2 linked regions of the Drosophila melanogaster genome follow. The protein of the gene in region 1 interacts with the protein of each later gene in a pairwise test. Each region holds a gene or a part of one and is shown on either strand. Other genes may lie near its edges. The genes, in order: HP1e and Cdc6.

What was found.
Region 2: the proteins of HP1e (region 1) and Cdc6 interact in a two-hybrid assay, tested with the Drosophila melanogaster proteins (one large-scale study listed by BioGRID).

What each region holds. Positions count from the first base shown.
Region 1 is NT_033777.3:9,319,553-9,322,923, reverse strand, and holds HP1e (heterochromatin protein 1e), read right to left. Parts: upstream 1,155-3,371; 5' UTR 1,099-1,154; coding exon 574-1,098; 3' UTR 563-573; downstream 1-562.
Region 2 is NT_037436.4:8,630,747-8,636,082, forward strand, and holds Cdc6 (cell division cycle 6), read right to left. Parts: upstream 3,324-5,336; 5' UTR 3,204-3,323; coding exon 1,634-3,203; intron 1,556-1,633; coding exon 1,137-1,555; 3' UTR 763-1,136; downstream 1-762. Other genes in the region: Zasp66 (Z band alternatively spliced PDZ-motif protein 66), read left to right, coding at 3,837-4,037, 4,256-4,335, 4,935-5,006.

The sequences.
Region 1 (3,371 bases):
TTGGAGTTGAACTTGCTCGACCGGATATTGCAGTATCAATTCTCGGCAAAAGTGCAGAAGGCTTAAACGAAACCTTTTTGCTGCTATTGTGGCTACGTGCCCACTGGACGCAACTGGGTAGCACCAGAGCCCCCCCCCCCCCCCTCCAAAAAAAAGGACCCAAGTGACGAAAAACAAACACGAATATATAGGGCAAAAGTACGTCCGGCCACCACGCCCCATCAGCCAAAAACAGAGAATAGGTCTTACGACTTTTGGTACTTGCGATGAGACAAGGGAATGGCCACAAAAACGGAATGCAAATATTTTCGCTTCATTTTGGCCGTCGTACATTCCTGGCCCTTGTTTGCCGGCACTGTTGTTGCAATTAAGAGTGTTTACGCTGCCTGTCGGGCAAACACGCCCCAAAAATCACTTAAAACTTGGCATTTTGCCTTCATTATTGTTTGTAATGCTGTGCAAAGGGACACCTTTTATTATAAAAAGTAAAGCAATTTAACCTAACATATAAAATATAAGAAGCTCACACACATATTCATAAGTTTTTTTTTTTTGAAGATCCAGAATTGCAAGTCATGATATATAATTATTTAAATAATCGTGAAAATTGCAATGATTTTCATAGAATTTCAGAACCATCTGCGGTATTTCCACATATGCAATTCCACTTGGCACCACTTGTGGTTGATCGAGATGCCAAAACCTAATTAAAAACGATATTTCACCATTGTTTTTAGCGCCTTTTAGAATCTCTTGTGCAGTGAAACCATGATTAAAAGGACTATCTACTACTAGACATGGATCGATTTTCAGTCGTTTAGCTTTAGTTTCATATTGATTATTCAGCTCTTGACCCCTCTTCAGACTTTTTTGTGATTCAATCGAATCAATAAGTGAATGGCAATCGAGATCTGCTGCCGATTCCCAGGTATTATCTTCATCGCTATAATCCAGCCATTTGACCAAGTATTGTAATTGGCCCATATAATGCCTTCGATCCAAAATCCTCTCTACAATATACTCCTCAGTTTCTTCAAAATCCGTCGAATTTTCAGAGAAATTCGAAACGGTCTCGCCACCATCGGCATCTGAATCCATTTTATATTTTTAAATGTTCAAATAGTATTTTTTTGATGAGTTTTGACAGCAATGTCAGAGCGAAAAACATTTTCGTAACTTTTTATCTACAGTTGCTACTCAACAAAACGTAGTTTTCTGTGCAGACAAGTTTTCTTTTAAATGCTGGTCTACTTTAATATCTTCTTGCCAAAAGAAATAAAATTATGAAAAATATTGTAATGAATTCGTTTAATATCCTGAAGTAGAAAAGTTAGCCATATACTTAATGCCCACAGCTTAGGAAATGCGGCATTAATAATACCAAATTCAATAGCAGAAAGTGAATAAAATTGTTTGCCGGAAATCTATTAGAGATCCCTGGATGCTGGGTAAGTCCTTTCGAACAACAATAAGAATAAGATGAGCCGTCAAAAGGAAAAACTGCGGAAAATATCGTAAAAAATTATGCGTAAACTTGGCGAAAAGTTTGAAATACTCGTAGAACAAAGTTTTTTTCAGTTTGGTTTCGTGTATCACGTTGTTTAATGAACAAAATCTTTTGCCTTTCAAGGCAAACTTTGCAGGCCACAGAAATCGTTGATGAATCACTTGACAATAAATTGGGGAATATGCTTTAAAAATTTGAAAGGTGTAACAACTAGTTATTTTTCTTATTTATCCTTCATTGAAAAACATAAGTTTATGGCTTCCCTCGAAGTCAGTTCCACATTTTATGGCTTTCTTTTGTAGAATGAAGGCGCCACGTACCTGATATTAAATCGGCAAAGTTTTATTACCCGAAATTAAAAGCTCGATTATGCGCGATGACGTGGGACAGATTTGTGGGATTGGGTCGCTTGGTTTGAATACTTTTTAGAGGCCAGCATTTACATGCGAATGTGGCAATCAAACTGTGCAGTGAGTGCTACGTGGCCGGAATAAATCAGGCGACTTATGAAGTAGGATGGAGTTGGAGATTCACGGCAAATACATACATAAAATGTGCGCCTTCGTCAACTGCAGTACAGTGAAGATTCGAAAATCGAAATGGAGTGGAGGGGTGGTCAAGAAACGTGAGGTGCGGTTGTTTACTGAAGCCGTAAATGGGGGGCCGGGCAATTTCCGTGCGGCGAGTTGTGAAATCAGCGTCAAATCGGAAGCACAGGAAGTGGAGAGGTGAGCAGTCGGCGCAAAAGTCAATGTGACTGCCTATGCCATCACTTCCGGCAAATATTGATTGCAGGGGGTGGTGCCTAGAATGGCTAAAAGCCATTTCTGCCTGGGTAAATTCAATGTAATTGATAAGCGAACTCTGCCGGCAGATAGGCGGCAATGAGCATAGTGTCCTGGCACACAGATACCCCATATATGTATGAGCAAACATACTGGCACACAGACACACTAGCAAAAGACACTCAATTAAGAAAACAATGGCGGCTCGGTTTGTGCGGCAATTGAGTTTTTCCTTTTTGCCATCTGCGTTGGCCGTCTTTGTTTAGCTTTCGGCTTTTCCTCTTACCCCGTTCCCAATTTGCCAGTAAGACGCTTAGTCTTGCCACAAGCCCATCGCAAAATGCTCTCTCAGTATTCTCGTATTTGACTAGTACTGCGATATCTTTGCCTTTTAGCCAACTTGAGTTTCTTGGGTTTTTGGCCCCATTCTACTCCTTTATTCCTATCGCACGCTCATTAGCCGCTGTCTTCGAGCCAATTTTACTGTCACTTTTTGCCTCCAGTGCTGGCTGTAGTTCCTTTGTTCGGATTCCTCGCTTGACTTAACACACTTTGGGCTAATTTCCAGTTTTATTTGATCATCATTATAATTATTGTGTGCTTGTTTTTGACAGTATTACGGTCATAATTTTTTTTTTTTTTTTTTTTTTGAGACCAATATTTGATGTTTTTATTATTTGATCAACGCACTGTTACCCATGCGGCAACTTAATTTGATCTGCTTAAATTATTTTATTTTACAATGTGTCTTGGTTACTTAAGACTAACAGATTTTTAATCCTAAAAATGTTAGGGAGAATTATAATAGTTGATATAACATAGTAATTATTATTTATTTGATTATTCTAATGAATTTTAAAACTAAGACTTTCTAGGTCAAAACCAGGTTAGGGAGGTCATGAGGGTGGTGTCGCTTGAGTCTTCTTTTGACTCTAGTCCGAGGGTCAGCATTGACCACAGCTGCAGTTCCTAGCTTCCTTGCTAGGCTGTTGGGGTGTACACGGTCATAATGGAAAGCCAGATTCGTTCGTGCGCTCATAAGTAGGCAATGAATTTTGATTGTAACTTTTATCTCGTGC
Region 2 (5,336 bases), on another chromosome or scaffold:
ATGAAGATTTAACTATTGGTTTTATAAAGGATACTGGTTTAACCCCATTAGAGATAGAAAGTAAAGCAAATCATGCTGATATTTAATTAATTTTGAATTACTTTTAAATATTTCAAATTTCTAAGAACGTGGCCCAATCCAGATGAAACATTTCACCTTTACCGTCAACCGTTTGATCTTGGAATTCAAGTTCAAATGCAAATGGCAGCGCCAACAGACCTGTATGTTTTTCGAGGTTTTTCGCCTTACTGCTCCCTCAGAAATATATGTATTTTTGAGGAATAGGAATATAGAACGCCATATACCTATAGATACATTCATGCATATATCTAGCTGGCCTCTCTGCATATAGCTTATTATTCAAACATTTGTTCGCCTTTCGTCAATACGCGTCGAAAGGCAACCAGAGTTTTTGAAACATATTTTTCATTGCGCTCTGGTTGTGTCGGTGGTGCTCAATGTAATTCATACCACTCAAATGGGGATATTTTTAGAGCAGAGAGCGCAGGAAGAACAACAATAAGCCAGCAAATAAATAAACAAAATGATTATAGAACAAATTAATTTCATGTCGAGATGGCCAACAAAAGCCCACACAAATTCAGAAGCACTGGTGTTAATTTGACTGGTATGTTCTGAAAACGCCTCAGAAAACAATGGCAACAGACTTTCCCTAAGATTTTCACAACTTTTGGCACGACCCAAGATTCAAACTTGCGGCGCAGCGAAAGTGGAAAACGTTTTCACTTTTGCGTTTTATGTATTGCGGAACTATCTAGTTTATTCTTATTTGCTTAGGGCTAACAGGAAGGGGATTCTCTATAACTTATTGGTCAACGGATCGGATTAGAAATAGATTATGGGCGCAACATTTACTTAGATTTATGACACACACAAAGTCTAAAAGAATCGATTCAATTAATAGTCAGAAAATAGCAGAAAATGTCGAAAGTGACCGTCAAATGATATTTCAAAATATTTCAGTGCTTGCGCCAGCCACGAATTTTAAAATTAGCGTCAAAAAGTATTCCTATACATATACGTTCGTCCCCAAGGTGAATGAAAATGAGAAAAATGCGCAATTAACCAGCGGTTTGTCGGGCACACTCATTTCCTAGAGGTAATCGTCCAGATCGTCACTTGCTCAGGCAGGCGGTATCGCTGAGGATCGAGGCGATCAGCTGCTTGTCGCTCAGTGCCGCATGCACCTCCTCCTCGTCCCACTGCAGCAGAACCTTGTGCAGGCGCGGCTCCTTTTTGCGCATGATTCGCAGAATGCCTCGGGTCTCGACCAGATCCACAGTCCCAGTGAACTCCGCTTGGTCCAGGGCCAGGATGTTGCGTTTGGCGCACACTCTCCTGTAGACCTCGTGCAGGCGACCCATACTGATGTCTTTGTTGCGCTCGTTGCGCAGCATCAGCACCAGGGTGCACAGCATTAGCTTTTGCTGCAGCGGAAATGATGCCTCGATGTCCTCCTCCAGATTCTGTGAGGCACCGTAGACCTTGTTCAGCACTGCAGCCACTTGGGTGACCTGAACAGGCTTTAGAGTGTCTGAAATAGTCAAGATAGGATTTCTTTTTAACACATTCTATAAATTTATCTTTATATACTAAAGAAACGAAGGTTTACCTTGCTTTTCCTTGGCCTCCACCGCATCCTTGCCCTCCAGCTGCAGGGCCTTCATATTGAACTCCTTTTCGCCATCGCGCTTCTGCTGCTCTGCTATCTCGACCACTCGTCGTCCAATGTCCAGGGCCCTTCGCACATCTCCACTGATCGCACTCACCTTGGCGGCCAGCAGCTGCAGGGTCACGGGTGGAAAGACGTCCAGCACTTCCGCCTCAGCCAGACGCGACTTGAATATCTCCACGATCTGCTGCTTGGAGTAGGGCGGGAAGTGCATCAGTCTGGGCTTCAGCTCGCACCTTGCATTCAGTCGCATCAGCGCACGATCTGTGAGATCCAAACTATTGGCAATGCCCACGAGCAGTATCCTGGAGCCGGGAAGAGCTGGCCACTCGAAGATCGTGTACAACACCTCCTGCCTGCTGGTGCAGAGCTGATCAATCTCGTCCAGCACCAGCAGAAGCATTCGCTTTGCTGTCTTTAGGTGACGCTGAATGGCCTCCAAGTGATCTCTCTCTGTGCGACCGCTGACTTTGAGCTGCAGTTCGGTGCATAGTTTCTTGTAAACTGCTCCTACACTTGCTATGCTGGTGCAGTTAATGTACACACGTTGCAGACGCTTGGAGAAGTCGGGATCTCTCAGCAGTAGCGATAGGCAGGCGGTCTTGCCTGTTCCTGGCTGACCGGAGACATAGAGGCTGCCGGAAGTCTGGCTTTCCAGGTGATTGCTGAAGAATTCACGTAGCTCTTGGAGCTGGGACTCACGTCCTGGCAAGTTTTGTGTCTCGGCGCTGTTGAGCACTCGTCTGGCGTTTTGGTATTTGTTGCGTGAGGGAGATGGCAGGTTATTCTGTTGGGTTTCCTCATTGGTTTGGATATTGCTTTTTTCTTTAGTTTGGTTTTTATTCGGCTGCTTTGTTGGAGGTTTCTCCTGCTGCTTTTGCGCTAATGGATCCTCCTGCTGTTTTGGCCGAGGCTTTGCCTCGTCCTTGGCTTGATGTTTCGGCTGCTGCTCAGCCGTTTCAGTCTTGTGTGTGGTCGCCTCCACCTCTTCCTCCTGGCGCTCGTCGATGCTGAGTCTGTCCAGCAGCCGCGAAGGACTGATCAGGTGCTGTGGCAGTGGCTGCAACTTCCTCTGCTTCGGCGGCGATCCATGAAGCGGGTCCACCTCCGAATCCTGTTCGCCCTCCAAGAATCTAGCGGTGGCCTCACGGTTTTCCTCCTCACGTTTGGCCCGTGAACTGCCAGCTGATTGGACTGTTTTCTTTGTGCTGCGTGGCGTCTTTGGCAGCTCCGATTGAGCCACCTGCACTTGCGATGTCCTGCGCCTGGAGATCTTGTCCATTTTGTTGAGCACGTTGCGGTTCTCGTTGTTCTCTGAAACGGGGCTGGTCAGGTCATAGATCGCCGTCACCACCTCCTCCTCCTCGTCGCTATCGGCAAGCACTTTTTTCGGCTGCCTGCGTTTCCAAACTTCCGAGCGACGCGGCGTCTGCGTCGACGGCGGCAGCGGAGAGGCGGCGGTCGCTTTGCTGATGCTACTAAGGCGCGTGGAGCGGCGTACGGCAGCCATTCTTTAGCTTAGTTTATTGATCAGCAGTTAGTTACTATTAAATACGAGTTAAATAAGCCACAGCGTGCGTTACAATTTTCAGCTGGCAGTCACAGTTAAAAAAGCGCGCAAATTGAGTTTGCCATTCGCCACGAGCAACAGCTGATCAAGCCTGGTCTGGTCATCTGGCAGCTCTAGCCCAGAGCTGCCTATTGTCGATCGCCTATCGATTAGGCGCGCATAGTTACAACATTTCAAACAGCAGTCCGCCTATATTGAATTACTTACATACTCGCGTGTGGACGGCCTGGTAAAAATAAAATGGTCCGCGGCAGATAGAAAACACAAATCGCTGGACGTTGAACACGCTTACGTAAGCGCCTAAAAATATTTCCCCTGGCTATGGGATATTTTTAAAGTATATAAACGGGCGCACATAAAATGGAATTTAGATATAGCGAAAAAAATTATGCACACACACGCTCGAAGGAGAAATACGTAGCACAGTGGGCAAAGATCTGGTGATTTCTAGAAACTCTTTTAATCTCTGTCTGATTTATTTATATTATCATTTGCCGCAACGGCTGGTCGGCCAAATGTGTGCCCCATTTCGGCGTAAACAAAGTCGTTAATCTTCACCGATCCGCTTTCCAGCCCTACCGTACAACTCCGCTGGTCCTGCCCGGCGCCAAAGTGAAGAAGGATGCGCCCACGACAGAGTCCTACTTGAGGCACTACCCCAACCCGGCTGTGCGCGCCCACCCAGGACACGACTACCATGACAGTATCATGAAGCAGCGCGTGGCCGACACCATGCTGCACAAGGTGGTCGGTTCGGAAGCCGACACTGGCCGCGTAAGTACAGGGGACTTCTTAAAGTCACACCCACATAATGGAAAATTACAAAAACTAGAGTTTTCTACATTTAAAATTGATATTTTCAATGTTAACATTTCGAATTCGTGACCTGTAGTCTTTGTTCTAATCCTGTTACGAAATTGATTGTATTTAATTTAAGTGTAAGTTGTAATGGGTTTTACTTACATTTGTGTACATATATCCCCCGATTTTAGGTCTTCCACAAGCAATTCAACTCGCCCATTGGCCTGTACTCCAACAACAACATCGAGGACACCATCAGATCCACAGTTCCGTAAGTTGTCACCCAGAAATGTACCATCTGGAAACTCCTATGCTTAGCTCGATACAATGAAAAAAAAAAAACACTAATATATGAACTTTTGGAATTCGCTTGTCAAATTGAACTTATAAGCCTATGAATTACGCTACATATTCTTTGGATTTTGCAATTTACGAATAAACCTGCGTAGAGTTCTTCGAAATTTTTGATGCAGCTTTTCTTTTTGCCAGAGAGACAGAGAGAGCCACTCGAAATGCGCCAAGTAGCTTGAAAACTAATAAAACGAGTCACGAACACACGGTTACGAGTAGCCTAAGGTCCACATAACCCGAAAAATTGGTTCCTGGTTAAGCTGCGGCCATAATCCACTAACCCAAAAGCCACAAAATCAAAGTCGAAACGAAATTTACTAAACCGATGCACACACGAAATGAGAAACACACACAATTCGAACATACGATTGAACACGAAAACCAGTCCATAGATGTTGTACGTACTACTTACTACTGCCTACTGCCGGATCTCTGTTTTACATGCATTTATATACATTTACATATATAAATATACCACTCTCTATATATCCTATATATATTCTATGTATATTGTTGTAGCTTCGCCACAAGCGAAAGCAATCGCTTGAAGGACAGTCCTTTGCATCGTCCTTTGCCAACAAAACTTAACGGGTAAAAGTAAATTCATATCTTGAGCACAGCCTGATTTCGTTCTTTGATTGAATCCTTTCACTTTCACTTTCACTTTGATATGGAAAGCACAATGAGCAAGAACGTGGAATTGTACCTGAACTTGCCTTGAGACAAATTAAATTGAATATGAGGAATGTTTGCCAAGTTTCCCGTGTTTTCCCCTGCCTGTCTGTACAGACTAACCCTCGATTATTGTTGTCTCCCGCAACCTGAACAACTGAACTATATATGTAGTTTCTAAGAACCAGATACAATATCTATGTCAGAACAACAGAAACAACACGACACGAGTCCAAAAACCCGAATGCA